Arabidopsis thaliana: one gene and its partners. The protein of the gene in region 2 binds, or shares a complex with, the protein of the main gene of each other region. Each region holds a gene or a part of one and is shown on either strand. Other genes may lie near its edges. The genes, in order: RSZ21, SR45, RS40 and ATU2AF35A.

Evidence for each region.
Region 1: SR45 (region 2) and RSZ21 share a complex: the UniProt entries of both Arabidopsis thaliana proteins name them as parts of the spliceosome.
Region 3: SR45 (region 2) and RS40 share a complex: the UniProt entries of both Arabidopsis thaliana proteins name them as parts of the spliceosome.
Region 4: SR45 (region 2) and ATU2AF35A share a complex: the UniProt entries of both Arabidopsis thaliana proteins name them as parts of the spliceosome.

What each region holds. Positions count from the first base shown.
Region 1 is NC_003070.9:8,424,133-8,431,950, reverse strand, and holds RSZ21 (RS-containing zinc finger protein 21), read left to right. Parts: upstream 1-2,465; 5' UTR 2,466-2,690; intron 2,691-2,709; exon of another isoform or gene 2,710-2,766; 5' UTR 2,767-2,786; coding exon 2,787-2,875; intron 2,876-2,947; coding exon 2,948-3,036; intron 3,037-3,132; coding exon 3,133-3,346; intron 3,347-3,551; coding exon 3,552-3,716; intron 3,717-3,853; coding exon 3,854-3,860; 3' UTR 3,861-4,694; downstream 4,695-7,818. Other genes in the region: AT1G23850 (uncharacterized protein), read left to right, coding at 4,906-5,970; AT1G23840 (uncharacterized protein), read left to right, coding at 6,614-7,630. UniProt on the Arabidopsis thaliana protein: Probably involved in intron recognition and spliceosome assembly.
Region 2 is NC_003070.9:5,675,276-5,683,541, reverse strand, and holds SR45 (arginine/serine-rich 45), read left to right. Parts: upstream 1-4,689; 5' UTR 4,690-4,855; coding exon 4,856-5,055; intron 5,056-5,177; coding exon 5,178-5,249; intron 5,250-5,332; coding exon 5,333-5,415; intron 5,416-5,603; coding exon 5,604-5,650; intron 5,651-5,736; coding exon 5,737-5,817; intron 5,818-5,907; coding exon 5,908-6,076; intron 6,077-6,165; coding exon 6,166-6,388; intron 6,389-6,459; coding exon 6,460-6,525; intron 6,526-6,664; coding exon 6,665-6,814; intron 6,815-7,046; coding exon 7,047-7,113; intron 7,114-7,222; coding exon 7,223-7,260; coding exon of another isoform or gene 7,261-7,264; exon of another isoform or gene 7,265-7,355; coding exon of another isoform or gene 7,356-7,365; exon of another isoform or gene 7,366-7,535; coding exon 7,536-7,617; 3' UTR 7,618-7,694; downstream 7,695-8,266. Other genes in the region: AT1G16630 (uncharacterized protein), read left to right, coding at 1-1,330. UniProt on the Arabidopsis thaliana protein: Involved in 5' and 3' splicing site selection of introns, and may bridge the 5' and 3' components of the spliceosome. Isoform 1 is required during flower petal development and isoform 2 is involved in root growth.
Region 3 is NC_003075.7:13,021,405-13,029,835, reverse strand, and holds RS40 (arginine/serine-rich splicing factor 35), read right to left. Parts: upstream 5,339-8,431; 5' UTR 5,159-5,338; intron 5,072-5,158; exon of another isoform or gene 5,005-5,071; intron 4,882-5,004; exon of another isoform or gene 4,674-4,881; 5' UTR 4,669-4,673; coding exon 4,563-4,668; exon of another isoform or gene 3,987-4,562; coding exon of another isoform or gene 3,980-3,986; exon of another isoform or gene 3,824-3,979; coding exon of another isoform or gene 3,781-3,823; coding exon 3,668-3,780; intron 3,580-3,667; coding exon 3,338-3,579; intron 3,265-3,337; coding exon 2,707-3,264; intron 2,627-2,706; coding exon 2,593-2,626; 3' UTR 2,396-2,592; downstream 1-2,395. Other genes in the region: SLK3 (SEUSS-like 3), read right to left, coding at 67-135, 270-484, 659-707, 873-1,004, 1,087-1,617; AT4G25510 (uncharacterized protein), read left to right, coding at 1,800-2,188, 2,333-2,393; CBF1 (C-repeat/DRE binding factor 1), read left to right, coding at 7,274-7,915. UniProt on the Arabidopsis thaliana protein: Required for constitutive and alternative pre-mRNA splicing. Involved in primary miRNA processing and pri-miRNA biogenesis. Binds both intronless and intron-containing pri-miRNAs.
Region 4 is NC_003070.9:9,612,745-9,619,990, forward strand, and holds ATU2AF35A (U2 snRNP auxiliary factor small subunit), read left to right. Parts: upstream 1-2,162; intron 2,163-2,392; 5' UTR 2,393-2,407; coding exon 2,408-3,298; 3' UTR 3,299-3,613; downstream 3,614-7,246. Other genes in the region: CYCT1;3 (cyclin T 1;3), read left to right, coding at 182-316, 398-570, 648-793, 1,036-1,223; AT1G27640 (uncharacterized protein), read right to left, coding at 1,719-2,162. UniProt on the Arabidopsis thaliana protein: Necessary for the splicing of pre-mRNA. Probably active at the 3' splice sites.

The DNA of each region.
Region 1 (7,818 bases), 2.8 Mb from region 2:
TTTTTCGGCTGAAACAAATGAAATAATTTTAATCCTTAATCCAATCTAAAGGTAATGCTAAATTTGTATTTAATTTAAGAGATTATGAGATCTCATCAAACCTACTCTGTATAGGTCGTATATTGGTACTGGTCAACTTTTTTATTACTTTAATAAAATGATAGTTTGGTTAGTTTTATAATGAGCTATCGTTTACGAGTTTATCCAAAATGAATCAGATTTTCCGTAAACATGACTCTAAGAAAAACTCAACTCTGGTGCCAAATCATTAAGTTTACACAATATAAAATGTTAATGGTGTAAATAAATTACAATATACAACAGTTTTTAACATTGCATGTAGCATGCTTAAATTCTACAAACTTTTCCCGTGAAACAAATAAAAAAACATCCCATCAATTTTGTTTACGGTTCCAGTTTTTGTTTTTATGTATTTTAAAAATATTTCAATGTATAGTTTAAGTAGCTATATTGAATCTATGATTTGGTAAGACATGAGAAATTTATATCAAAGTGGCGGTGTCCATGTATACAAAAATCTAATGTTGACGACAAGTCGTTTCATGTTAACAAAAAAAATACCGACTAGTCACATCTCTACAAAGTGCAGGTAACGTTTTAAGAAATAATTATCATAATCCGTTGGCAAAAAAAAAAAAAAAAAGACTAAAACAATTTAATGTATTGGTCAAAAAACAAAACTTCTACACACGATCTAAGACTATATCCATATTGATAAGATGAATTGAATCGATATATATTCTTACTTTAACAAAAAAGAAAGATCATTAGAGTTATCTTGTCTTACTAAAAGTCTTAGATAAAGACATAAAAATGGAACAAACATCATTGGGAATGCAACATGCATGTACATATTACATATAGTAAATATAATATAGTTAAAAGCGAAGTCATTATTATATGACTAAACTAAGATAATTAAAACATGTAAGCACACATTATCGGGAATGTATTGATATTAAAAGGGCACCACGTAGGTCAGGGTGGCCTCTCAAACCCCCCAAGGGACAAAGCAGCATTAGGATTGTCACTAAAGTACTAACCATGTGTTATTTTACGATATTATCCCCATTTGGTGTTAATGGTTCCAAGTGTCAATGTAAATAACGTTGACATATATAAGCCGTGTTTTGTTTTCACGTTGTTTAGGAAGCCAACGAGGATTGGGTAATTGGATCCGAATCAGATTGACACTTTCTTCTTCTTTACTTTTCTTGCTCTTCCACTTGACAATACCAATTTAGGGCTTGGCTGGATACAAATGTTTTTATCCTTCTTCAACCCGTTATCCGTTTTACTAGACTTAAAAAAAAAAGAATAGTATGTGTAAATATGATACATGATATCATGCATTTGTTAACTACGATAAAAAAAATCGAATATCTATATTGTCCATTTTGCAGATATCCCTTTTAAATATCTAACTAAATATCTGTAAATGTGAGGTTTAAAATTGAAATCCGTATATTTTTATTGATATGCACAACGATAGTTACAATAAGTAACATGACACTAATAATCACTCCCCAAAATTTTTATACAATTAGATATAATTTTAAATACTAATATTCTATAAATATTTCACAATTTTAGAAATTTTGATACTAACCAATTAATGTTAGCTTTGGATAACGAATGAAGTTATGGCCATCTTATTTCTTCTGAGCCATCTATTTAGCCATAGCCATCCAAAAATTAAAGAGTATCTTATTCCTCCCATGTCCAGCTTAAGGGACAAGCCAGGGAATAGCGACACGTGTAAATTGAATGTCGATTTTGTAAAAGGAGGTAAGTGGGGTCTACACAGTGGCTGCAAATAAACGAATCATAACTAAACACGTGTCAAAGACACAGTCTTAGAGGAGTCGATGTAAGTGGGACCCAGCATGACTTATCTTGGTTCAGAATGTTTTCCCCAATGGATAAGTGTCTTTTTGTTTTTGGTGGGATGATGAAACCTTTTCTATTTACGTCGACGCAATTTTAAACAATGAGACTCTTTTTTTTTTGTGTGTGTGCAATCGTTTAGAGACTTGTTCACATGAATTAGGTGCCCAATCATGTGTAAATTGGTAAGGTATATGTAAAACTAACAATTGTTACACTTGCCAACTCCAAACTTAGATTTAATCAGCCTACTATATTTTGAAAATTTAAGAAGATACAAGTACTGATGCAAAAGTTGAAAACCAAAACCAACTCATATGGGCCATTAAGCAACTGAAACTTGCTCATATTTTTAAAATTTTAACCAAAAGGTTATGGGTTTTAGGCCCATTAGTTTTTTTCAGACTGAGAATCACGTCAAGTTACAGTAATTAGACATCAAACTCTAGAAACATGTTTGCATAACTTTTGTTGTCAAAGATGTTTTGCATAGTTTCAAAATCCGCTTTCACCTCAATTCTCTTTTTACGTTAACTAATCGACTATGGGAGACTAGTCTTACATTTTGGTCGCTAAAACTTTGTTTATGAATATATGGATTACCGAAAAATAAGGGACCATGAAATAACTAATAAATGACCAAATAATATATGATGTTAATTTTTTTTTACTTTTCAGTTTTCATATAATAATGAAATAACTTGGTTACTCTCTTTCCTCGCCGTAGTCTGAGTCTGAACCCTAAAACATCCCGCTTCGCTGCTCAGGACCAAGAATCTCAGGTACCTTGTTAACTACTCGCTGTAACTATTATCGATATCCATATTTCTTCACAAAATTCGATTCTCTTTCGTTCAGATTCAACTGATCTTTGCAACATGACGAGGGTTTATGTCGGGAATTTGGACCCACGCGTCACCGAAAGAGAACTCGAAGACGAATTCAAGGCCTTCGGTGTTCTTCGCAAGTAAGTCCTATCTCTGTACTCAATTTTGTTTCAAGCCATACGAATTATGACTCTGAATCTTAAAAATCGCAGTGTCTGGGTAGCTCGTAGACCTCCTGGCTACGCATTCCTCGAGTTCGATGACGAAAGAGATGCTTTGGATGCAATCAGCGCATTGGATCGTTAGTGTTCTTCTCATTAGACCTCTTAGTTACCATGTAATGTTTGTATTATTGTTTGGTCATTGAAAAGTTTTACTCTTGTGGCGTATACTTCAGGAAAGAATGGGTGGCGTGTGGAGCTTTCTCATAAAGATAAAGGAGGTCGTGGAGGTGGTGGTGGTCGTCGTGGAGGTATTGAGGATTCCAAGTGCTATGAGTGTGGTGAGCTTGGACATTTTGCTCGCGAGTGTCGCCGTGGTCGAGGCTCTGTGAGGCGTAGAAGCCCTAGTCCCCGTCGTCGTAGGAGTCCAGATTATGGGTATGCTCGCAGGTAACGATCCAACGGAAACATTCTTATTGAGCTGCTTAGATGAGATAGTATGTCATTAGTATGTCCATTGTGTTAACATATCCATTGAAATTGCACTTTGTAATCATGTATAGGGGCTGAGTTGTTAATGTTGATAGTACCTTTCTTGATGTTATAATCGCTTTGTGACATACATTTTTGTTCCTGTGGAATTGATTTTGTTCAGGAGTATAAGCCCGCGTGGAAGAAGATCTCCTCCAAGGCGTCGCAGTGTTACTCCACCTCGCCGTGGGAGGAGCTACAGCAGATCCCCTCCTTATCGTGGTTCACGCCGTGATTCTCCTCGCCGCAGAGACTCGCCCTATGGTCGACGTTCGCCATATGCCAATGGGTAAAAGTTCTTTTCTCTTCTTGGATTTAGGTTTACTTTCTCAATCTGCATGACTCAACTTCAGCATTGTCTATGTAGATGTGAATAACATTTGAAGTATTTTGATATAAGGTATATATTCGTTTGCGTTTCTGCAGGGTGTGAAACTGGACCCTGAAGAGAAAGAAGCTATTACTAAGCTATGATGCTATATCTACTCTGTGGCGCCTTTTAGGATAGATCTTTATATCTGCTATTATGGTATTAGCTCTTCTAGGTTTGGTTGTTGAGCATGGACATGTCATGGTATGTTCGAGTTTTATTAGACAATTGGATTTGGTGAGTTCTCCTTCATGCTGTTTTCCAACAGCCGTCTTGACTTATTCTCTATAACACGCACTGGCCTGCTGTCTTCACACAGCGTCCTTGAACCCCTACACTTGAGGTCGTTCTTTCGTATCCATAAATGTTTTGTCTCTTGTTGAATGCACTTTCCTTATTATATAGACATATCTAAAAAGCTCAACTGTTTCCACTCTTTTTCCCTTGTGAGGTATGATTTATCGGGGATCTCTTGGCAGCACAGCTGCATCTTACTCTCCCCACAACTTAGTTTTATCATGAATCTGCATCCTCAACTCGACCAACATCAGCTAGAATTTGCTTGTTACATTGTGTGACTTTTAGATTGCCCTGCTCTTTACTCACCACTCCTACCCCAAGTCTGCAACCAAGCTTCTATTGAGAAAGACGAATCTGTTTCTTCACCCCGTCCTCTTCCTAGCTCTCGGCTGCTATATCACCACTTGGTTTCTCTACTCACTTTTGTTTTTCGGTCAACTTTGTTACACATCTGTTGGTGGATCACACACTTACATTAAATTAAACCCATTTGTGGATGCTTCTTTTTTATATTGCTTGTGAAAAACGTGTTAGCTTAGTCTTTTGTGTTCATGATTTGGTTTCCCACTTATGCTTTTCTTTTCCCAATTAATCTCGACTTTTAATCTGTTCTTCTTCGGCCGCCACATGTTTTCATTTTAATACTTTTCTAAATTTGGTTTTGAGGCAATTTGGTTCAGATTTGTTGGTATACCAATTCTTACGTCAACGTCAATGAAGAAACGACTCCATATTTACGAATAAAAAACTGTAGTAGATCTGTACTCTCCCTTTTTCTTTGTAGAGAAGAAGAGAACTGTGAAAGAAGATGAAGATTGAGGAGGATCTAGGTTTCATCAACATACTCAAACGAGCAACAAAGCTTCTATGTGGTAACATCAATCTTGTTCTCTTCCTCTTCCTTTGCTCTCTCCCCCTCTTTTGTTTCTTGATCTTCTTCGAGCTTTCACTCCAAACCACTGTCTCACTCGCTTCTCAATACCTCGTTCGACAACTCACTAATTGGGATTACTACTACGTTCCTCAAGATGCTTCCGTCTTGGAGAATCTGATTCCATTGCTTATCCAGACATTTCTACTCTACTTGTTCCCGTACGGCCTCATAGACCTCTTCACCACCACCACAATAGTCTCTGCATCTTGGACTGTTCACACGTCGGAGGAGGAACCGTTAAGGTTCGGTCAATTGGTTCGGAGAACGGTAGAGATATGTCAAAACAGACTTGAAGGTTGTCTGATCACCTCTCTGTACGTCCTTCTCTTGTCAACCCCTGTTTTCTTTGGCTTCTTATTTGTAGCAACGAACTATTTCCACATCATTTCTCTGACCGGATCAGGCGAAAACTCATACTACTATTCTATAAACATTGAAGAAGATGCCGAAGGCTATTACAGAAGCAGCAGTGTCAACAGTCCGGTAAAGATGTTGTTTGATGCGGTTTTAGCTATGTTTCACGGTGCTATCTTTCTCGGTTTACTGGCGATGTTCAGCAAGTGGAGTGCGGGATGGAACATGGGTTTGGTTGTTTCGGTGTTAGAAGAGGAAGAAAATGGTCAAAGCATATATGGAACCGATGCCTTGACACTGTCTTCTAACTATGGAAAAGGACATGAGAAGCGTGGTCTCCAAGTGATGCTGGTGTTCTTGGTCTTCGCTATTGCGATGAGGATGCCATGTTTTTGTTTCAAATGCACGGAGAGTTCCAATGGAAACAGAGTGTTGTACACGAGTTTCTATGTGGGTTTGATCTGTGTTGGGAATATGATCAAATGGGTGGCTTGTGTAGTGTTTTATGAAGATTGTAGAACTAGCGTTTTGGAGAAGAAAGGTGATGTGGAGATTGGATCAAAAGGTAAGACTTTTGTTGCATAGATAAATTGTCTTAGATCAAACCAAAGCTCTCGAATCTTAAACAATTTCTACATGACCAATAGCTCTGGCCTCTTCAAGCTTTCCTTATAGTTGCTCCGTTTAAGCCATTAAGGTCATATCCCAATGTATTGTTGTGTGAGACTATCAGTGTTCATGGCTTGGCCAAGTATTTATTGAAAGTTATATTATTGAGTTGTGTTTGATCATGTACACTTATACAATGTAAAGCTTAATTTTATCTTATCTCTAACATAAAAAAAAAACGAAATAAAAAATTCTAAATATATGTTTTCATAAGAATGATATTGGACACACGTCTTAGATTAACTGACTTCACTTCATAGTTAGGCTTTCACTGTTATCTCTAATACTTCGATCAAGTTTTTTGCTAATTTCCATATAATTTAATTACAACAAAGTGTAAATAGTTCTAAATTGACAATCTAAGACTTGAAGCTTATCTAGTAAAACCCCACTACTAATCAAACATTACATACAGTGACTTATAGACCAAGTCAAGAAGTCAACGTCAATGAAGGACGACCATTAAATTACTCAAAGACTTATTACCAATTACATGTTCCACCACTACACATACAGATCTGTGACCTCTCTTCTTCTATTGTGAGAAAGAGATCAACAAATGGAGACAAAGAGCGAGGAGAAGCTAAGTGTCATCGAACTACTAAAACGAGCTCTTAAGCTACTCTTTGGTAACATCAATCTCGCTCTCTTCCTCTTTCTTTGCTCTCTCCCACTGTTTTGTTTCTTGATCTTCTTCGAGCTCTCCCTCCAAACCACTGTCTCACTCGCTTCCACATACATCTCCAAACTAGTCAATTCTGAGGAGGACTTGTCGGAGAATGATCTTCTTCCTTGGCTGATTCAGACAACTCTGCTCTACTTCTTTCCCTATACTATTCTTGACCTCCTTACCACCACCACGATCGTTGCAGCATCATCGATTGCTTACACATCTGAGGAAGAGCCGTTAGGGTTGCTTTATTTGGTAGGGAGATCTTTCAAGCTATGTCAGAACAAAGTAGGAGGTTGTCTGATCACATCTCTCTATGTCCTTCTCTTGTCGACCTCTGTTTTCCTCGGTTTGTTCTCTGGTTCGACCATCTACTTATATTTTGCTTCTCTCACACTCGAACAACAAATATTCTTTAATCAAGCAGTGGTGCAAGACCAAAGATTCCTTGAACAAGCAGTGGTTCTGTTGGATGTGGTGGTAGTTCTGATTCATGGTACTGTCTTCATAGTTCTGGCTGCAAAGTTCAGCAAGTGGAGCGCGGGATGGAACATTAGTATGGTTGTTTCGGTCTTAGAAGAGGAAGAAGATAGTAAAGGCATCTATGGAAGTAGTGCTCTGTCTCTTTCAGCTTGGTACTTAAGAGGACAAGAGAAGCGTGACTTCTGGATGATGCTAGTGTTCTTGGTCGGCGCTCTTGTGACAAGGATGCCATGTTTATACTACAAATGCAGTGAAAGTCTGAGTGGGAATGGAGTGTTGTACACTGGTCTCTATGTAAGTTTGATTTGTGTTGGGAATGTCGTTAAATGGGTTTCTTGTGTTGTTTGGTACCATGATTGTAACACAAGGGTCTTGAGGAAAAAGGGTGACGTGGAGATTGGGTCAAAAGCTTTTGCTACATAGAGAAATTGTTTGTGAGTTGTGACCAAATCTTTAACAATTTCTCTATCACCAATAGCTTTTGCTCTCTACTTGAAATAACAAATTGAAGTTTAATAGTTCTCAAATCAGAAGACACTTCTAGTAAAACCCTACTAGTCAAACATTACCATACAGTGGCTTGTAGAATAAGTCAACAAGTCAATGAAGGA
Region 2 (8,266 bases):
GCAGTTGGGTGCAAAGCTGAGGATGTGGGCAGAATCATCATTTGTGTATCTTGATAAGCTGGTCTCAAGTCTACGAGAAGAGGAGGGAAGTGTTCCTTTTCAATTTCATAACTTGACAGTTCTTTTGGAAGACAAAAGGTTGTCTGATGCTGTTTTCCAGTCAACTAGTGTTGAAATCATTGTTGATGGGTTCATAGTGGATAGCTTAGAAGTGGATATAGAAGAAGTGAATGTTGGTCATCAGGAACCTGAAGAAGAATCGGAAAACAGTGGTGAAATCAGTCTTGAAGCTGTCTACGAAGAAGATGATAATGAAGTCGAGCAGGAGAATGAAGAAGGAAAGGTAAACTTAGAAATTGTTGATGAATGTGATGAGCAGGCTGAGATCAAGATAGCTACAGATACAGAGGTGAACGGAGGTGAAAGGTATTCAGAATCTCTTTCTGAAGAAGGACATGGTGGCCAAGAAACTGATGTTGTTGAAGGGCAGGAAGAATATGAAGAAAATGACCAGAATAACATGGAAGAAGCTGAATCCGACGCACAACTGCTTGACGATGTGCAGTCTGCTGCAATCAGTAGTAACCAGCAAGAACAAACCGGAGTAGCCAATGTTGAAACTGTACAAGAAGAAGAAGGTGTTGGGGAAATTGCTGGAGGTAGCCTCAGTGTTTCAGAAGAAGCTACAGATGTTGAACATGACGGTAATGAAGTAGAAGAAGAAGAGAGTGGGTTTGGTGAAGTTGTTAATGATGCAGGTTCGGAGGACATTTTGTTGAGTGGCCAGAAGAAAGTGTTAGTCTTGTTTTCGACTATGATGGTTATACTTGCAGCAGTAGCAGCTGGTTTCCTATTAGCCAAGAAGAAGACAAAACCTGTGATGCTGCAACATGAAGATGGCGAACCAACAGCAATCTCTGCAACTAAAGTTGTCGAGCATGTGCCAGTAGAGAATCTGATCAGAGAAAGGCTTTCTTCATTGAATTTCAAGGAAGAAGAAGAAGAAGTTGGTGATGACAGAAAAAGAGAGGTATCATCATTCCCTTCTGAGATGAGTTTCAGCTTCAGTAAGAACAAACCATTACACAGCTGCAGCAACAAGAAAGATGATCTTAAAGAACATCAAAGCGGAGGAGGAGGCAAGAAGAGTAATGATAGCGGTGAATCCATGGCTTCCTCTGCATCAGAGTACTCCATAGGTTCTGTTTCATATGGAAGTTTCACAACATATGAGAAGATACAAAAGAGAAGTGGTCACGAAGAGAAAGAGATGATAACACCTGTGAGACGTTCAAGCAGGATCAGGAACCATCAACATTCTGGACAATGAGTTAGAATTAGCTTTTGACTTTATGATCTACTGATTTGTAGGAAGGCTTTTCCATCTCACTGAAGCTTAATTAGTATGTTGCTTTCTTAATTAGTAGGTTTGATTCTCTTCTTTAAAGTTTCTGGCTTTACTATTTGTTTAAGACATTGTACCCCAACCTTGTGGCCTAGTTTTAATAATATTGTTCATGTTATCTGAATCCTCTTCTTTGTATCTTGCAAAAACGATGGACAATTTTCAAACACCATGATTCATGATTGTAAAAGGTTTTGCAAGAATAGGACCAAATGGCGTTGGAAGTGTTTTATGATGATAAATCAGATTAGTTTATATAGATGTAGAAGTGTCAATTGGGCTGTCCAAAGCCCATTGGTCATGTCCACTTGGACCATTTTTTTCATGGGTTTTATTGGTTGGTCTTTAATGGACAATGGTCTAAAAATTTGTCCAAGACCATTAAAGACCATTGTCCAATGGTCAGCCCATGGCCAGCCCATACAATGATGTTTATATACAATGCATTTTCACACAATCTCGTCAAAAGCTCTATTTATAAAACCATAACATCAACATGAAATCAAACATGCATGTACCTGTTCTTCCCAGTCTTGTAATCAACCGTGACAACTCAAACACGCATCTAAGACTCTCTATATGCACCTACAAGTAAAGAAAAAAGCCTACAATGGCTACATGGAGAATGATTTAACAGAGAAACCCATTTCAATACTACTCCAACATCTAGAAATTGGAAACCAGAAGTGGCCATCTTCAATAAGCTTAGGTAAAACAATAAGCTTAAACAACATTTCCACAATGTAATCAATCACAAATGATTATAAGTAAGAGACAAAATCCAGAATCAATTCCAAACCAAAATCTGTCATCCAAGTTGCAACCTTAGACCGGATACCATCACAACCTATAACAATCTGTCAAAGACATACATCATCAAATCAGCCATGTACTGAGAATAATAAACACATAACCATAGGCTCAGAGCTTAAGAGAACAACCATGTACTTGTTTCTTCCCAGTCTTGAAACGTTCATGCAAGGGTGGTGTTTGTGTCCTCTTGACCTTGGATCTCATCAGTTTCTTCAATAAGAAAAACCGAGCTATTAATCTAAAAGCTGCAGTCCAAAAGCCATATAAGTTTACTATTATAAACGAGTTCAAGATGTGAATATTACCAACTTCTTGAAATCCACGAAACCAGTTTCTAGTACATAGGAGGGCTTGCACATTAGTAGGTAAAAGGCAGCTTCTATATTTGTTAAGCACACGACTACCTATACTAAAAGCTGATTCCGATGCCACGGTAGTGATCGGAATGCTTAAGATATCACATGCCATCGATGACAATTCTTTAAAACGCGAGACATTGTTTTTCCAATATGCAATAACATCCATATCTCTAAAAGAGACCATATCTAACACAGGCTCTTCCAAGTACATATCTAATGGTGATTTTCCAGTTCCATTTCTTTCAGAAAAGTAAGAGTAAAACCCCTGAAATATGACCAACAAAACAAAATTCTCACTAAGTATAAGAATGCATTTTCAGAAGCATTATGCTTTAAAATGCTTTGCATAGTATCATTTGCAGAAGCATTATCTACAGTTAAAGTAAAAACTTTCTTCTCAATTCCCCAATCTTTCAACAGCTCACTAAGCTTCATTGCTATAGCTACTCCAGAATGTGGAGGCGGGAAAGCACAGAAAGATAAGATCTTCGTTTTCAGAACACCATCAACATCTACATAATGAGCTGTTAAGCAAATATAACTTTCAACAGTTAAAGCTCTCCACAAATCTGTTGTTAAGCATATTCTACCCGGGATTATAGCTAACTTTTCCTTAAGCTTAATTTTCTCTCTTTCATAAATCTTGTAGACATCAGAAGCTGCAGTATTTCTGCTCCAAAATTCTATATAAGGGTTAGCATATGTAAAGGCTTCTCTAATTCTTTCATATTCGACAAACGAATATGGAAGATTATGTTGAACTAAAGCCACTGCAATCATTTCTCTAAAGACCATCATATCCACCTTTCTGCTAATTCTAGGTGTACTTCCAGGAGTCTTCTCACAAGATCTCATATGACGATTCATGGTATTAGTACCATTTCGTCTCAGATTCAAGTGATAAGTCTGCTCACAATATTTGCATGTAACCTCAGTTTTCCCATTAGGATATTTCTGTCCTCTATCGAAGTTTTTCCAGCATGCAGCACGAAATCTACTTACACTACTTTTACCTCTCTCAGCTGTCCCTGAAGAAGCAGTTTCATGAGGTAGTATCTGATCCATTTCTGGATCTTCATGGTCCATTTCTTGATCCTCAAGATTAAAGTTGTCTTCATCAACCAAGTTTTGAGTATCCAATTCCATATTTCTGAAACAAATAAAGACATACACACGTTTAGCAGTGATAAACAAATAAAGCATGAACTTGACTAAATCACTAGCCTTCTGGAATAATTAAGCATGAACTTACAACACAAAGGGTCTCTACATATTGATGTGCTTCAATTCATAATGAAATTCGAAATGGCGAAACATAAACAAAATCTGAAAAGTGCCCATTTGCTAGCTAGCTCTCCTCATATCCAAAATTCACAATTGAACTTTGGACAAACCCACAAGCTAGTAGAACTAACCGGAGTAGGAGTTGAGAGAGAGGTCGAGCTTGGTCGTCGCCGAGAGAGAGCTTTGTCGCCGGGAGAGAGAGCGTCGTTGCCGAAAGAGAGAGAAGAGAAAAAAATTTATGTGTTGAAAAAATTGATGGGCCAACCATAAACCGTGTGGGCTAGCCCATTAAACCCATGGACAAAATTGGTCTTTAGACCATATAGCCCGTTTTCATTACGGGCCGACCATGGACTGTCCATAATGTTGTGGACTGGGCTTAGCCCATGGTCAGATGACCATTTGACACTTCTATATAGATGTATGAATAAACCTTAATGGTTTCGGTGTTATTCAATGACTAGATTCAATCTAAGATACTTTGATTTTGAGATTGCTCTTAAGTTTGTACCAAGGCAACAACAATATCAACAAATTATGGGACAACAAGAGAGCTATAGAAAAATGGTATCTAATTGATCCTAATTGGATGGTGTACACGACCACAGACAATCGATTACAACATTTTATAAGTTGTTGAATTTTTTATGGGAGTTACTAGCTTTTCTGTTTGAATTTTCCTGTAGGATTTGAAGAACTTTTGATTAGTGACACATTCAAATCTGATATGAAAAATGGGAAAGGACACAAATTGAGCTCATTATGGTATTTATACTTTATAAAATGCTTTAAAAAACATATAAATCCCTCAATTTATCAAGCAAATAAAAACCTGCCACGTATCATCTTCGGTTTAATTTGCAGTCCGCGGAAAAAAAAAGGAGACTGGAAAAAAAAAGTCACAGTCTGTCTGTCTGTCTCTCTCCTCTAATCTTTTTTATCCGCTAGGGTTTTGAAGCAAGGTTTCTCGCGATTTTCTCGATATCTCTCGCCCATGGCGAAACCAAGTCGTGGCCGTCGTTCCCCCTCCGTGTCTGGCTCGTCATCTCGTTCCAGTTCCAGATCTCGTTCGGGTTCGAGCCCCTCCAGGTCTATTTCCCGCTCACGCTCCCGTTCTAGATCGCTCTCTTCATCTTCATCTCCTTCGCGAAGCGTCAGTTCTGGGAGTCGCAGTCCTCCACGTCGTGGAAAAAGGTTAGGGTTTCTTTCAATCACTTACCAATTGTTCGAATTGGATTTGTGTAATTTCGCTTTCATTCTTCTTGGTTCGTTCAGCTCGAATTCGAATTGATGTTCTGATGTATCTTCTTGTGTAGTCCTGCTGGACCTGCTAGGCGAGGTCGCTCTCCTCCTCCTCCACCATCTAAAGGAGCATCTTCACCTTCCAAGTAATATCTGACTCGTTCACATAAATATATTCTAGTGTTTATGCTTTCGTCATTACTGACTTTACAATCTTTTATGCTTTCAGGAAAGCTGTTCAAGAATCTCTTGTTCTCCATGTTGATTCTCTTAGCAGGAATGTGAATGAAGCCCATCTCAAAGAAATCTTTGGTATGTTGATTTCTCTTTTCTCTGTTTCTTCTGCTTCTTCTAATCTTACTACATGATAACTGTCTACACATGTCCGCTAATGTCATCAGTAGTGTATACGGCATTACGATCATCACTGGTCTTTTGTTTTCCTTGTGTTGGCTAAATGTTAAGTCTTATAACATGGCTTGGTTTCATGTTATTATTAGGCAACTTTGGTGAAGTTATACATGTCGAAATTGCGATGGATCGAGCTGTAAGTTGCTATTCTCTTTACTCTCTGTTGTTTACTTGCATCACTTGTTGAAATCTGCTCATAATTCCTTTGAATATTATTAACAGGTTAATCTTCCAAGAGGACATGGTTATGTTGAGTTCAAGGCAAGAGCTGATGCTGAGAAAGCTCAGCTCTACATGGATGGTGTATGTCTCTTTCCAATTATGAAATGCACTGTACTTGACATATTGACAGAGAAGATTTATGCATGTTTTTTTTTTGTTCACTGAACACAGGCCCAAATTGATGGAAAGGTTGTTAAAGCAACGTTCACACTACCACCTCGTCAGAAAGTATCTTCACCCCCTAAACCTGTCTCAGCTGCACCAAAAAGAGATGCTCCAAAATCTGATAATGCTGCTGCTGACGCTGAGAAAGATGGTGGTCCCAGGCGCCCAAGAGAGAGTATGTCAAATCCTTATATTTTGGTTATTTATAATTGTTGTAGTATATGCTTTATGTTGTGTTAATTAGTATCATCAATATGTGCTTAGCATCTCCTCAACGGAAAACAGGGCTTTCTCCGAGAAGGCGATCACCTCTACCTAGGAGAGGCTTATCACCTAGAAGGCGATCACCTGATTCTCCCCATCGCCGGAGGCCGGGCTCTCCTATCCGCCGTCGCGGTGATACACCTCCTAGACGTAGGCCAGCATCACCATCTAGAGGCCGTTCTCCATCTTCTCCCCCTCCAAGACGATATAGATCTCCTCCAAGGTTAGTTATGGCACCATCTGTTTTGTCTGGTGTGTTTCAGATTCGATAGCTCACCTTTTATCTGTCAGCAGGGGCTCCCCTAGAAGAATTCGTGGCAGTCCTGTTCGAAGAAGGTCTCCTCTTCCTCTAAGACGAAGGTATGTCTATTTGGTACCTGAATTACACCCTTAGTAATCGAAGTTTAGGAATCACAGCTTTATAGACTATATTACTCAGTAAATTAGACCGGGAAAAATGTGTCAGTTTTATATATGTTTTGTATTCGGCGTGTTTCAGGTCTCCACCTCCAAGGAGACTACGCAGTCCTCCCAGAAGATCTCCAATCCGTAGGCGTAGCCGATCCCCAATTCGTAGGCCTGGTCGCTCTCGTTCAAGTTCCATCTCACCCCGCAAGTATGTTGGAACTCATTTAAACTTTTTTCTGGGGTCTCTCTCGTGGGTTTTATTTTGTTACAGATGCATAGCTAAGACTGATTCATAACAAGTTTTTAAGTCTTTCATAATTCATGAGTATACCCCAAGATCCTACATTGTCTTATCCTTTTACCTAGGTTTCTGACATACCAGCTCCTAGAGACGTTGATACCCAATATGACTAAGTTATATAGATCCGTCTGGGGTTTGTTCATGAATTAATTTTGTCTTTAACTGTAAGCAGGGGACGAGGTCCAGCTGGGAGACGTGGGAGGTCATCTTCTTACTCTAGTTCACCAAGTCCCAGAAGGGTAAGGGCTTCTTGCAGATCCCTTTTTAGCTATAAAATTTTTGATGCCTTGCGAGTTATATGTCTTGACTCTTGACTTTCTATCATTTGTGCATTATTAAACCTTACAGATTCCTAGGAAGATTTCAAGGAGCCGCAGTCCTAAGAGGTAAACACTTTCTGTCTTAACACTAATCCTCGTCTTAAACTGGAAACACTTTATAGTCTGTAGAATGCATTAATTGAAGAAGTTCCAATGTTAAGTTATGTATAGTAAAGTTAAGGGTTACCCCAATTCCTGATAAAAGACATAGCATAAACATCTGGGACCTATACTTTCTTGGTGAGTTTGGTGATGAAACAGAGAAAAATAGAATTGTTGTGTAGAAATTTTTTGCGTTGAAGTCTAATAAAAGAAAATGGGTTGTTGTTGGGTATGTTTAGGCCACTGAGAGGAAAAAGAAGCAGCAGTAACAGCAGCAGCAGCAGTTCACCGCCACCACCACCTCCACCTCGTAAAACTTAAAGGTGATAAAAATTAAAAAAAAAAAAAAAAAAACTTGAGTCTTGATGTAGCTCTCTTTCTCCATCTTTATCGTTATCATCTGTCTCAGCCTCTTTTCTTAGAACAGATAAAATGTTTACCAGTGACCAAATGAGAGTTGTGGTTTTTGTAGTGTTTGGATGTTTAATCTTCTTTTGTGGATCTCCTCATTAGATGCAACGATAATGACTTGGTTCTTTTAGCTGGTTGTAATTCCCTAATATATTCAGTCTTGTTGAAGAATGGCTGGCTCCTTCACCCTTTTCTTATTATTTTAGTTAAAAGAGAAAGAAATCCATACAAAGACTGGTGATCCAAATACACAAGAAATTGGTTTTTTGTTTCATTCAGAGAAATAAATAATTATAATTTAAGGGCTCCTAAGATGCACAACAACAATTTTGCATCAAACCATGCATCTTAATGAGAGTGCACAAACTTTTATTTAAAACGAAAAATAGAGTTTTCCTCAACTTCACACAGTACATACCACTCAAAGAAAATAAATATACATACCACTCTGCAAGTGCCCATATGGGGAAGATGTTTCTGTAGGTAACATAGTTTAGAAAACAGTTCTTCATGAACACTCCTGTCATTTCCTGCACAACAGAGCAACAACTCTGTTTTT
Region 3 (8,431 bases), on a different chromosome or scaffold from region 2:
AAACGGTTTTTGTAAAATCTTATGCTCCTAATAGTTAACGCAAGGGCTACGCAATTAGAATAGGACCTGCGGAGCAATAAGCCTGCGAAGAAGAAGCTCTTCATGACGCCGAGCACAAAACTCCCAAGACAGTATCTAGAAAGAAACACAGTCAAGATTAGGTAAGCATTAGCACACTGGTGATTGCTAGATATTTTCGGTAAATAGGCAGGGCAAAAGAAAATTGGAAGAAAGTCACACATTTTTAACCAGGGAATTTTTCTAGATACCTTCAGATCTGGAGAGAATATGATACGAAGATGGCCCTCACGAACAACACGAAACTGCTCGTGTACAGTTTCCTGAACTGCTTTTCTATATTCTAGCATCATCAGTCCATTGGGAAATCTGTTTTCTCGTGGGTGGTCAAGATATAAGAGCTCATCAATGATGCCACTTGCAAATTTTATTTCAATAAGTCTGGCTAGCACATCAAAAGTAGCCTCTGCGGAACGAAAAGATGACACTTTAGCTACTATTTTGACGGAAGACTTTTTAATACGATTATCAAAGTTTTAAACAATAAAGAGAGAGCAATTAGCATGTGTAAGCTGCTTCATTGTGCTCAAGTAAAGGCACAGAAATACAAGTAAAAACAAGAAATTTGCAACTATCTTACCAAATCCCTTTCCAGACTTAGTGCCGCAAAGATCACACTGCCACATATCCTATAAACAGAATGAGAAGATGATGAACTTATTCATTAAAAAATCAGTGAAGTGAAATTCATAAATAGTACAGGTGGAGTAAAGATGTGTATAGCTAAAGATATGCTGATGCAGAACACAGATATCATAACAGACCAAAACACACAGAGCAAAGACGATACTGACCGGAGCTGCCTGTGGAAACATGCCAAGGGCATGGTGCCCAACACTTTCGTACTGTGACAAGCACAACCTCTGCTTTGCACGAGGTGAGAAGTATTCTGCCACAAATTTCCTCCAATAAGTAATGCAATTTTCCTACAGAAAAGGTATCAGTGATGGGAGAACTTGAATAGATGTGATAAAATAACTAGAAGTCCATAGGTTAGTATTAGCTTACAGCAGGCCGTTGCTGCAGATGATACAAGTACATCATCAATTTCCGAGCACAGACGCCAACTTCATAAGGACGTACATTAGGAGAAATCTGTTGGGTTCCTTGTTGCTGTAACTGCTGTCTCAGCTGCTGCTGTTTCTGAAGTTGGAGTCTCTGAGAGGGTGACATGGATTGAAGCATCTGCTGATGTTGCCTCACTCTCTGCTGCTGAAGCAAAGCTTGCATCTGCGGATTTCTTCCCGTGGGGTCCTGGCGCTGGATCAACTGCTGTAAAATCTGCTGCTGCAACAAGTCTTCTTGCTTCACTTCTAATCTCAGTTTCTTATCTACATGGGAATAACTGTTTTCCCTCATTGGAACTGAACCTTGTCCTGCTTGCTGTTCTAGTAGTTGCCGCTGCTGCTGCTGAGGTAAGTGTTGCATTGAAGGAGATCCATCAAGAACCATTGATCCAGGCAGGTTAATGCCATTCGAAGAGAAAGACATTGGCGAAGTCGGGATATGCAGATTATTGATGCCACTGCTCCTCTGCATATATACAGCTTCGGAACCAAGAGCATCAGTCAATGAGAAACTCGATTCGATAGCTCCAGGAGAGCATACAGAGATCAAGACGTCCAATACAAGGACGGATTCAGAGGAATGAAAAGCTTGACTCTTTAAAGCGTCCTCTCAGAATCTCTGACCCAAATAACAAAGCCAAACGGATTCTAGCTATGATTAATCATTCAGGATCCAAGTATTACGAAGATTTAGCTGAAGGAAATGAAAACCAAATCAGAAGACGAAAAGGCGAATTTTTCATAACACTCGAAAGCCCTATACTATCAGACGAGCATATCTCAAAGGGTAAAACTTACCAACAAAAGACTAAAACTTCAAATCCAATGGGCAACTCAAATCAAAACCCAGAAAGTTTCAACCAAGTAGACTCTCTCGACTTGCACGAATCCCAACGATCAGAAAATTGGAGAAACCCAGTAGACAAAGAGATCATTAAACTCTACAGCAGCATTTTACTTGGTAACAAATATACTAAAGCAGACGACCAATGTAGGCAGAACTATAAGTCTATTTGTAGCCAATATTTATATTTGAGTCAAAGGTTAGGGACTAGTTCGAACGTTGACAAGAGGCGTTTAGAGTAGTTTTTAGACCCAATTAAGTCAATAGAACCGTTCTTGCCTTCCATAATTTCGGCGTACCATTTAAGTTACTTAACGATGCGTTCGATTTTGTCACTCTCAAGGTGTTTCGATGCAAGATGTTTTGAGGTTCGCATCTTATTGTCACGGGAAAGCATTACATGATTGGGGTTCAAACTGAGAGGTGATAAAAAAAAACGGAAATGTAGTAACTTGACATAAGTTTTTCAATCCGACAATAAAAGTGATCCGAGTTCGAATCTATCAAAAACCAAACGACAAAAACTAATCACGACGACATAGCGTTGTTGACTACAAACAGTTACAACATCCTACTTTGATAGAGATTGTGGATCCACTCTTATCACTCGTCAGCTGGTGGCGAACGAGGAGACCGGCTGCAACAACAAGAGAAATGGTTTACGATTCATGTCATCAATAATATATAAACAAGTATCGACCTATTTCAGAATCTAACCTCTTCTGCATTGGGCTCTCTGCACCATCATACCCACCATCACTGTCTCTTCTTCCTATTGACCCAGGGCTTTCAACTTGGCCATTCTCGGGGCTAGACCTCGATCTCTCTCTCCTTTCAATGGGACTTTCAACTTCACCAACCCCATTTCTCGGACTCTCCTTCTTGAACGGGCTGTGATTAGGGCTCATCCTCTCTCTCTTGTTGTTGGGACTGCGGCTGTACTTAGTAGGGCTTGCGACTCTCTCCCTCCTGCGAGGGCTATCATTGCCTCTGCGGTCACGACCATACTCGGGACTGCCACGTCTTGATTTCTTGTAAGGACTTGGGCTACGTCTTCGACCATAGTCAGGACTGGTCCTTTCCTTTCTGTAGGCAGCAACAGGACTAGCTCCTCGGCCATAATCAGGGCTTCCTCTTTCTCTTTTGTAAGGACTAGGTGATCGCCTTCTCCTTTCAGGTGACCTATCACGGCGTCTTTCAGGACTGTGTCCATTTCCTCTAGCATCATCATCCTTCACAGCATACTCCACCGAGATCACCTTATCCATCAGCTTACTGAATGAAAACACAGATGAAACGTGAGTCTAAGAAAGGAAAGTGATTAGATACTAAAATGGACAGAACAAACCTGTTATTTGAAGCATCCAATGCTCTGGTGGCATCCTCTTGTGCCTCGTACTGGATAAATGCAAAATTCCTCCTGATCCTAACGTTTACGATCTTTCCATACGGCTCAAAGTGTTTCTCTAGATCCCGGGTCCTAGTATTATCCGCATCAAAGTTAATCACAAAGAGAGTCTTGGAAGGTCTCATGCTGGATGAGGATCTCCTTGAACCACCACCAGATCTTTTATCACCTCCACGTTCACTCTATATACACAGAACCATTTATGTTATCAGTATTTCAAACCTCATAACTAAGTCTGGAAAGAAATAAATCCTGGGGTAAGTATCCTACCTTTGTCCATTCAACACGAAGTCTGCGTCCCTTACGCCCAAATTCAAAGCGGTCAAGTGCTCGGATGGCATCTTCCGCATCCCTTTCATCTTCCATGTATACAAAAGCAAACCCTGGAGAAAAAAGAAAAAGCCAAAAGCAAAGATCTGAGTACATTAACAGTGAGGAAGTGGACCAGATTAAGAACCTTCAACATACACGAACACTGTCCTCCCTCCTTCAACGCCTAACTTAACTCCTAGAACATATTAAATTTTGAACATTCCTAGAACCTTAAAAAAACTCCAAATGACCAGTGAAGCAGTTACAGACCTTGCATTATGGAATTAATATGTCAAGGAACAACTGAAAATGTGGAAGTCAGACGGGGATATGAATGAAAATAGAGAGCCTTCTCCATTGCAGAGGCATGTCCAAGTGTGCAAAGTGATGAGGAATGAAATGCAATTAAGATGGCAGTGCTAATGCGGATGGAAAGTGACTGATTTTGAGGGATAAGAGATGGATTTCCCTATGGTCCATTCATGGCCAGGTGTGAGTATAGGCGTCCCAAGATTATCAAACACATCCTGCGTCAAAGAAAATGCGGTTTTACACTAATTTTTTTTCTAAAAATCTTATTCCTCTGAAGTACTTTCCAAAGTTCAAGCAGGCTGCATCAGGTGGCCAGGTGAATGTGGTCAATGTTTAGTACTCCTTCCAAAGGGAGATAGTCCACCAGAGCCTTCTCGTGGATGGAATGAAGACGAGAGTGGATTTCATGAAATGCATTTGAATTTCGCTTTTTCATTGTACTTAGTGGATAACAATACTGCTTATTATAATTCATTCAGGTTAACCACAAAGACAGAGTAGTAAGAGGCAGAAGAAAGAAAGAAAGAAAAAAAAGGCTCACCAGCTTTCATATCAACCCTCTCAACCTTGCCGTATTTCCTGAATAGTCGTTCCAGGTCACCTTCGCGCGCATCATACTCAAAGTTCCCACAGAAGACTGGCTTCATGCTTCCTGTATAGACAACCACAATAGTAAAAAAGATTCATGAGACTTCCTTAAATGATAATTTAAACACGAATATCACAACTAATTTGTCACCAAGATGAAAACTTTTAACACTAAAAACTAGAGCCCTCACACTAAATCGAATTGTTTTGCAGTAAATTAGGACTTGAAACTCATCTATTCGAGCTCCAAATCAGTTAAATCTAGGAACTGAACTAGACAGTATTAGAATCAAAAGTACAATGCAACAGATCTAATCTAACTACAGTTAGATCTGAATATCATTCACAAGATAGAGAAAACGAGAACAATCCACGAAAGCATGAATCTTTCATACCAGAAAAACAAAGAAGGCTCTGATGAGATTCAACTTATAAAAAACGAGATGGACCAATTCTCTTGTTCTACTTTTCACCAACCAAAAAAAAAAGAAGGAAGAAGGAGATGAGAACCACGACGATATAGAGAGTGAATAAACTGCATCAATTTACCTGTAGAATGATTTTGGCAGGCGTAGTCGCGTGGAAGCCCTAGAAGAAGAAGAAGCTCGCGTCGAGAGATAGGTGAAACTGAAAACAGAGTTAGGTACGATTTAGATAAAGAAGGCAAGAGAGATCATTTGGATTTTTATTTTATTTTCTTTTCTTTTTAGTTTCAAAGATATTTTTTTCAGAACACATTTTGACTTTCTTATTTTGTCTGAAGGACGAGAAGTCGAGAACGTCTACTTTTTAGGAGTATTGGGCCTATATGTTAAACAAATTATAAGAAGCCCAACAAGTAAACAAAATTGAAGCTGCTTTCTAAAAAAACAAAACAATAACAGATTATGAAGACAAACAAATATTAGATTTTTTAATTTTGATTAGAATATACTGATTAATAGAACTAGAACATGTATCACATAACATCTACACAATGAATAATGCATACAAGTTTTTAAAAAGTCTTGCAACTTAACACTCTCAAGATCCCACATGTCAAGTTTTGGATTCGATGAAACATATGAGTTTGTTAGTAAGTTTAATAATTGTTGTTATAAAGAAATGTGTATATTTATATATTACAATTAATTAAATAAATTGTTTTCCTCTTCATTGGATTGCTTCACTTATGTTAAGAGTTTAGTAGTTGCTTTCAAGGCCGAATGATATGTGGCCACGAACATATCATCACACGTGGAATGAGAACGAGTTTCGACTTTTCAAATATGCCATAAAGCCTCAATTATCTTCTTATCTCGCTTGAATATGCAACAAAAAGCTATTAAGATATTCATAAAATAGAGGCGTCTCAAATCTACCAACAAAAAGCTACAAAAGATCCAGTCCAATCCACTGAAGAATCCCAAAACAGAGTAGAAACCCAAACAACCCGATTCAGCAAATAATTCAAAAACGAACGTCCGTACGATTTTCCAAAAACAGAAAGATGGGTTCCACAAGATAATGCGTGGGGACGTCAAAATCCTCTAAACCCGTGGTTCGGCCGCGGAAACACTGTCCCTACCTTCCCCACCAGCCTTCACTGGCCCCATACGTCACTCTCAAGCTTTACTTTCTATTTTCCACTAAAGCCAATTTTGTTGTTTTCTTCACCTTACCACTCTTTTTTTCCCTCTTTGTTGTGTCTTCTTTTCTCCTAAATGTCAATAACGTGAGAGCGAGAGGTAACGAGAGAGATATTTTTGTCAGCGAATATATTTCATGCATATCTTATTGTGAAGATTTTTTATACCTTTTTTTTGTCAATACAATATAGCTATTATTGAGATTGAGATATTTTGTGGGAATTATTGGGATTCAAGATAACTTGCTATTTTGTATTGGTCTAATCCTTCGCTTAGTCCTGTCCTGGTCCATTTACATGTTTTTGGTTATAGTTTGTTTAAACTGAATAATTTTGTTCATCATATGCATTTATGACTCATTTTTAACCGTCCATCGAAATTGATAATTATCCATTACCAAATCTGATTAATTTTTTTAAAAAATCAAGCTTTTCTATATTGTAGTATTATTTTTGGTTAAATATTAGGACATCTACTTCCAATACAAATACTACATGAGTATTTAAAATATCATTTCACAGAGATATTTATGTCTATTATGTTATAGACGGGTGACAATTAATGACAATTTGTTTATTCATAGGAATTTAAAAACGATTGTAACAACAGCAGCCAGCCAACCACACAGGCACACACTCGATAGAATTTAAAGAACTCATAAAGGTTAACGAGTGAAGAGTCAAAAGTCTCTTTACAAGGGTCAAAGGACACACGTCAGACAGCGAGTGGAACATCGTGGGATTGCTTCGCTATGTACTATACACGTGTCATTCACAGAGACAAAAACTCCGTGTGCTCCCCACATATCCGTTATCTCTCCTCCGGCCAATATAAACACCAATTCTCACTCTCACTTTTTATACTAACTACACACTTGAAAAAGAATCTACCTGAAAAGAAAAAAAAGAGAGAGAGATATAAATAGCTTTACCAAGACAGATATACTATCTTTTATTAATCCAAAAAGACTGAGAACTCTAGTAACTACGTACTACTTAAACCTTATCCAGTTTCTTGAAACAGAGTACTCTGATCAATGAACTCATTTTCAGCTTTTTCTGAAATGTTTGGCTCCGATTACGAGCCTCAAGGCGGAGATTATTGTCCGACGTTGGCCACGAGTTGTCCGAAGAAACCGGCGGGCCGTAAGAAGTTTCGTGAGACTCGTCACCCAATTTACAGAGGAGTTCGTCAAAGAAACTCCGGTAAGTGGGTTTCTGAAGTGAGAGAGCCAAACAAGAAAACCAGGATTTGGCTCGGGACTTTCCAAACCGCTGAGATGGCAGCTCGTGCTCACGACGTCGCTGCATTAGCCCTCCGTGGCCGATCAGCATGTCTCAACTTCGCTGACTCGGCTTGGCGGCTACGAATCCCGGAGTCAACATGCGCCAAGGATATCCAAAAAGCGGCTGCTGAAGCGGCGTTGGCTTTTCAAGATGAGACGTGTGATACGACGACCACGAATCATGGCCTGGACATGGAGGAGACGATGGTGGAAGCTATTTATACACCGGAACAGAGCGAAGGTGCGTTTTATATGGATGAGGAGACAATGTTTGGGATGCCGACTTTGTTGGATAATATGGCTGAAGGCATGCTTTTACCGCCGCCGTCTGTTCAATGGAATCATAATTATGACGGCGAAGGAGATGGTGACGTGTCGCTTTGGAGTTACTAATATTCGATAGTCGTTTCCATTTTTGTACTATAGTTTGAAAATATTCTAGTTCCTTTTTTTAGAATGGTTCCTTCATTTTATTTTATTTTATTGTTGTAGAAACGAGTGGAAAATAATTCAATACAAAACAAATCGTTTTCTACTTCTTTGCTTCACATAAGTTAAAAGTCAAATATTTAACAAAAAAGATATTAAAAGTCATATTGTAGTTGCTTTCAAGGCAAAATATGTGGACAGATCATTACACGTGGATGATGTTTGTAAATATGCCACAAAACCTGCATTACATTATTTTATTCTATCTCATGTAAGTTACAGATCTTACAATTTAGCAACAGAAAGCCACAAAATATTACATAAATTGGCTCGTCTCGAATCTAGCAACCAAAAAAATTCAGCCCAGTTCACTATAAAGAATATAAAAAAAAGTTTCCTAAAATAGTGTATAAAACCGAAACAAACTAATTCAACAAACCCGAAATAAACAAATCCGTACGACAACCAAAAATATCTTTC
Region 4 (7,246 bases), 3.9 Mb from region 2:
AATAGTCTGCAACAGATATATTGATTCTTCTTACAAAATTTGGGTTATGAGCAATATAATGTTGATGAAAACAAGTCAAAAGTGGTTATTTAATAGTTATTCAGTCTTCCTGGTTAATTAGAAGTGTATATGATTGCTGCTAAATATTTCCACTTCGGTTTCTCACTCGGTGATTTTGCAGACAATAGCGACTTCCAGTCTGTTCCTCGCTTGCAAAGCTGAAGATGAGCCATGTCAACTGTCCAGTGTCGTTGTAGCGTCTTATGAAATAATTTATGAGTGGGATCCTTCTGCCTCAATTAGAATCCATCAAACTGTAAGTGTATACATACATCTATGTATTGGTAAATTCGCACTGTGCATTTTGCTAATTTATTACATGTTGCTCTGCCTGTAGGAGTGTTATCATGAATTTAAAGAAATTATTTTGTCCGGGGAAAGTCTTCTGCTGAGCACAAGTGCTTTCCATTTAGACATTGAACTTCCCTACAAACCTCTGGCTGCGGCTTTGAATAGACTGAACGCTTGGCCTGACCTTGCAACAGCTGCATGGAATTTTGTGCATGACTGGTAAAGACCCTTGTTAATAATATCTGCCCGATTTTTCCCCTACATTGAGTTTGAATCTTATTATGCATTGTGTGTAGGATTCGAACCACACTATGCTTGCAGTACAAACCCCATGTTATTGCAACAGCCACTGTGCACCTAGCTGCTACGTTTCAGAATGCGAAAGTAGGCAGCAGGAGAGATTGGTGGTTGGAGTTTGGAGTTACAACTAAGCTATTAAAAGGTTTGCTGTTCAAACTCTATTTTTTCCTCTGGTATTATTGCAGTCATTTGATCAAGTGAGATGTAGTGTTTCTATAATGTTAGCGCTAGGAATATGTGGTACTGTAGCTCCAGCTCATGTTAGGTTCTTACCCTGTGCACATATTGAGTTTGGAATTAGGTAGTGGCCTGAACGAAGAGATGTGCTGCTATTGATTTTAGCGGTTGATTAAAAATAATTGGATGTTTTCATTATGGTGACAGAGGTAATCCAGGAGATGTGCACACTGATAGAAGTGGACAGAAGGAGGAATATGCCACCTCCACCTCCACCTCCAAGAAGAGAGTTAAGTTGGGCAATACCTGCAGCCGTAAAGCCGGTCCATATGGCTAGAGCTTATCCGTTTCACAGCTACCCTTTGCAGTCCTATAGACAGGCTGGCATCTGGTGAGCCATTGTTGAGCAGCATGAAGATGTAATCTCTCTTAGAGTCTTGAGTTGGTTTAGCAATAAAAGATTTCCGTAGAGACTCATGAGAGAGGCAGTGTAGCATTATATAGAGATCCGAGTGAGGTGCTTCTGTCTAAGTTAAGCGTCTCATGTATGACCAAAGTGGATTCTCTCGAGATTCTTGGTCTCTGTTCTCGATAGAGAGAGATTATGTATAGAAGTGTCCCATTCACATGTTATAATACTAGCTGACTTTATATCGTTTGTATATCTGGAATCTATGTTTTTGGTTTCTTTAAAAAGTTTAAAGTTGTTTTGATTTTGACTAATTCTCTCATTGTTAAGTAATTTGGTTTTTGATGAAGTGCTATTAGGTCTGTGTTGAGTTGAGACTTGAGACGAACACAATCATCATATGATCAAGCTTATACCGATCGGATAAGTAATTAACCGGTTCAATTAACTACACCTAGCTTATACCGATCGTATAAACCGGTCAAGAACCAAAACCGCTTGGTTTCCATTCTAGACCAAACCGGATTCTAGTTTCCATTATTATTATCTTTTTTATCGGATTAAAAATATAAATCCTTATGTCAGGAGATCCCATTCTCTGTCTCTCTGTCTTTCTCCCCCAACTCGCGAACAAAGCAAACCCTAGATCATCCATCGGCGAGTGAGACGGCAGCTCCTCGTCGGTAATTCCTTCCACCGGCGGCGACCACTCACCCTCAGATCTCTCAATCCCACTCATCTCTGTAACATTCTGTACGCTTTCTCTCTCTCTTTCTTCGCTTTTGTGATCTATTACGGCTCGGTCTCTGTGCCTCCCAGCTCTATTTTGGAGCACTGCTTCGTCTCTGTGTTTATTTGGCTCCTTTGTGTGTTTCTCTATCTCTGCTTTTCTTTTGTATTGCTCTGTTTCCGATTTTATATCCATATGTCTCTGGTTATTTGGTTATATCTATGTGTGATTCTTTGTTCTTTTTTCCATTGAATTCAATAGCTGACTAAGATCTCTGCCTTTTATCTTCAATAGTTGCTCAATCTTTTCGCTTTCGTAACATAATTTAGTTTCTTGTTGATGTTTTTGATATCTACCAATCTCTTTTCAATTTATGTCTATATGTTGCTAAATATCTTGTTCAATGACTGATTTCTTAAACTCAGGGTGGAAATTCTGCCATGGCGGAGCATTTGGCTTCAATCTTTGGTACTGAGAAAGACAGAGTGAATTGCCCTTTCTACTTCAAGATTGGCGCTTGCCGTCATGGTGACCGGTGCTCGCGTCTTCACAACCGTCCTACCATCTCCCCAACACTCCTTCTTTCAAACATGTACCAAAGGCCTGACATGATTACCCCTGGTGTTGACGCTCAGGGCCAACCACTCGACCCGCGTAAGATTCAGGAGCACTTTGAGGATTTCTTTGAGGATCTTTTTGAGGAGCTTGGAAAGTTTGGCGAGATAGAGAGCCTCAACATTTGTGACAACCTTGCTGACCACATGATTGGCAACGTATATGTTCAGTTTAAGGAAGAGGATCAGGCTGCAGCTGCTTTGCAGGCTCTGCAAGGTAGGTTCTATTCAGGACGTCCCATCATTGCTGATTTCTCTCCTGTGACGGATTTCCGCGAAGCCACGTGTAGGCAGTATGAAGAAAACAACTGCAACCGTGGTGGGTACTGTAATTTCATGCATGTGAAGCTTGTTTCGAGGGAACTAAGGAGAAAACTCTTTGGGAGATATCGGCGATCATACCGCAGAGGAAGTAGAAGCAGGAGCAGAAGCAGGAGTATTAGCCCCAGGAACAAGAGAGATAATGACCGACGTGATCCTTCTCACAGGGAATTCAGTCATCGGGACAGAGATCGCGAGTTTTACCGTCATGGAAGTGGAAAAAGGAGCAGTGAGAGGTCGGAGAGGCAAGAGAGGGACGGTTCAAGGGGTAGGAGACAAGCAAGCCCTAAACGAGGAGGGAGCCCGGGTGGCGGGAGGGAAGGAAGTGAGGAGAGGAGGGCAAGGATTGAGCAATGGAACAGAGAACGGGAGGAGAAGGAAGAGGGAGGAGCATAAAAACAGTTGTTTACTCAAATCACAATTGCTGCTATGTGGTTTCTGCGTCTGCTTCTCTGCGTTTATTCTGAAATCGGTAAAATCTGGTGATGGATTTTTCATTTGGCTGTTCTAATTTGGAACTTGAAATGAGTGGAATCAACTTCTTTAGATTATAAAATGTTTGGGGTTACTTTCTTGTAGTTTTGATTAGGAAAAACCGCTCTGTCCCCTTGTTATTGATTTTCACCAGTGTTCTTTAGAACTTTGTACTATCTTCTGTTGGTTAAAACTTAAAAGAGTTCTAGTTTAATTCGAAGTTGTCTATTGTTCTTCAATGCTTGGGAATACTAACGAGTTTCTGTGTCATGGTTCAGTTGTGGCACTAATTCGGGTCAAAGCACCTCAGAATTTTAGACAAAGATAAGGGGCAAACACTTTGGGCCTTTGATTGCATTGATTTGTGTTCCAAACACGTCAGAAGTTAAGTCTTTTTCTAAACCAGTTATCGAATGGGTTAGTCTTGGTTGCCATTTTTCAAACATACTGGCTTCCAATTGGTCATGCCAAATATGTAGCTTACTAGACCTATATACTTTCCAAAATTACTTCATAAGCTGTTTGTCTAATTCACGCAATGAATACATATATGCATAAAATACTCCATATGAGTAAAAAGATGTATAATATAGCGGAATATATAACAGAAGTCGACAATGCAATATACATCAACCCTAAACCATAAAATCATGAAGGTCATTTTGGCTTGTAGGCGTCGTCGAGTCCCTCTTCAGTGATCGTTGTGGTTCTTCTGGACAGAATATTCAAATGGTCATATAACTCATAACTCCCAAACGGCCAAACCATTGTTCTAATTGTGATGACGAGTCAAACCACTAATCACAATAAATTAATTACTTTTTTTTTTGTCCCACACATGTTCACAAATATATGTTTAGTTAAAAAACTCAGAATTAATCAATTACAATGCATTAAAATATCGCTACCACCGTCACACCACCCCAATACATCCGTCCGATCTAGCATCAACACCCACAGCCCATCCCATTGACACGGCGGTGTCATTTCTAAAGCATCAAACAAAACATGTCATTGTTTATTCTTACTTTACATTGACTGAATAGTCTGAATTAACATAATATATATATATATATATATTTACGGAATTTTATCATATGAATTCTCAGTTATGGAGATTAGTAGTTCAATAGATTGGCCACGTGGAGAAGTCTTTGCCGTCTTCGCTTGAGTGGATATATTATAGTAATAAAACCCATACGATATCTTGTTAACTTTTTAAAAGTTTTCTTACATCAAAAATATACAAGATATCAAAGTTCAAAAATTAGAAATCTGAAAGATCGTAGCTACATAGTGAAAGATGGATTGTTGAACAGCGTTATAAAGTCACATTAATTCCATGTAATAATAATACCTCAAAATCTCAAATACAACACATGCACGTGTCTAGCTTGCTGCGTTTCTATATACATTATGCAACTGAAAATCGAATTATAATGATACTAAAATGAAATATATGATCTTAAATTTGTTATTGTTAGGAAAATATAAAGATGAGGAATGGGGAAAGTCTGTTGGACAGTGATGCCCTAAATTTGAGAAAGCATATATTCCCCTGCTCTAAAGCCTTTGTCCTCTTCTTAGACAACTTTAAAATAAATAATAATGCTTTCCCATACTTTTTAGGACCCTCCTTTTAAGGCCTTTGTTCTCTACTTTTTTCTATTTGACCCCCAACAAAAAGAGATTATCTTTTCATTTTTTCGTAACATAAAAATAATTTATGATTGACCAACTACGACTATCTATCTTTAATTTCTTTTGAAATCAATTTAATCATGAACCATTGTCAGTACATAGCCTTAGCATCGCCTTTCCTGTCAAAGGATGCAATTTTGTTATGTTTTGGTAGTTTAATTGAAAACTCGTCATAGTAGACAGATATAAATATTTCTCTTCATCTCTTTTTTGTGCTTATGTTATATGAATCAAATGAGTATCCCATTAAGTAAAAGAGAATGAATCAAAGCAGTTATAATAATACAAAAAAGGAAGATTGTAGAGTTATATATTATTAAAAGTTCAAAACATTGAGAAAAAGTAAATGTAAAGATCAAAGCTTCAAGTGTTGAGAAGCATGGCACCTAGGTGGTCTAGTAGACTTTGGTTATAAATTTCAAGTAAAAGAAAAAATGATCAGCACACGAATTTTTTTGTGCCAACCAGTAATAGCAACTCAATGATGTGTACACTAATTGACAAACAAAAACTGAAAACAAACTTTGCTTTATATACCATTACTATTAGTATTACTACATCTAATTAATACCATTGATATTTATTACTTAAATCTTCAAATATTATTTTCTATATATTCCTCTACATATTAATTTATATTTATCAATTTTATAGTTTAATAAAATCATAAATAATTTGAAGCAAAGACTTCGTTAATTATACTTATAAAGTGATGTGTTATGAAAGCGATTGGATGATTGAACCCTGATTGGTAACAGATGTAAAACAAATTTAGCTCCTACACCTAATACTATACTTTTGAAATTAATACTTAAATTTCTTACAGAACTTTTAAAAAGAGACACAAAATATAATAGATTAACACAATATAGTTTTTTAAGATCTAAGGTCAAGTTGGATAATGGATAGAGGGAGCCCATCATTTCTTAATCTTCCGGTACATATGGTGTATCTAAGTGGTCATCAGGTAGTTTGTTATAAATGAGACCATGGACGTAATTAGTGCAACCTTAGTTTCTATATTTTGCATATTGTATCTATTAGTTTGGCTCCATATAATGATTCCAAGGACAATCAAATATACAAATAGACACATTACAATAAAAATTTTATTGATGCAAGTAGATACTCTGACAATCCGCGTGGTTAGTTAGGTATAGGGCTTGATGACACTCTAGAATTTCAGGACGTAAATTCGAAGAGACTCTATTTTTGATTCTCTTGACGAATAATTAAGTTGTGCATGGGCCATTCGTGCTCGGGTTAGGAGTTATTGTACATGATAAGCTTGTTCAACAAGAGTTCGTTCATCTTCGAGATTAATCGAATTAGATCCAGATTACTGCTACAAAATAAAATAGATATTGGAATACATAAATTTGTTTTAAATATTAGAAACATAACAAGAATATAAAGAAGGTGAGATATGTGAGCGTGCAAGTAGAGACGAGAAAGAAACATAAAAAGTGAAAACAAAGTTTTTCCCATACTCTTTTTGATCTCAACACATTCTCCAACGTGCCTTTCTTCTGATGTGAGTCTTGTTGCTCTCTTTTTATATCTGGTTGATCTATTTTTCATTTCTTTTATACTTGTGAATTATTATGAACTAACTAATTGATCGATTAAGTTAGTTGTTTTCCACACTATTAATTAGTTAATTAATTAAACATTCTTTTTAGATGCGATCGAATTGGTGACAGCTTTATCAACAGTACAATACTCATTTTCGTAACTTATTGCACTTTTGAGTCACACTAGATAAGGAATCATTTATGTATAAAATGAGTTCTTCGCTCTTCTAAAAGCGTTCATTTCAACCAAAAAAAAAAAAAAACAGCCAACCATAACATCAGAATATGAAGCATGTTCTTTCCAAAACCAATAACACAAATTACATTGCACGACACATATTATGTAACAACCAATAAAAGTTCGCCGCCTCTTCTATATGCTAATAATGACAATCAACTAGCACCTTGCCAAGTTATTATCTCTTGCATAATTTTTTTGCTCTATCTCTACTTACTATTGATTGTAATAGTTATCCCCTCCTTTCATTGAATGTCTCTGATGGTTATGGAATTGAAATTATGTCGGACTTTCTCTAGTGTTCCGATATAGTGACTTCGACCTTAAAACACGCTTATAAGTCAATACATGGCAGAT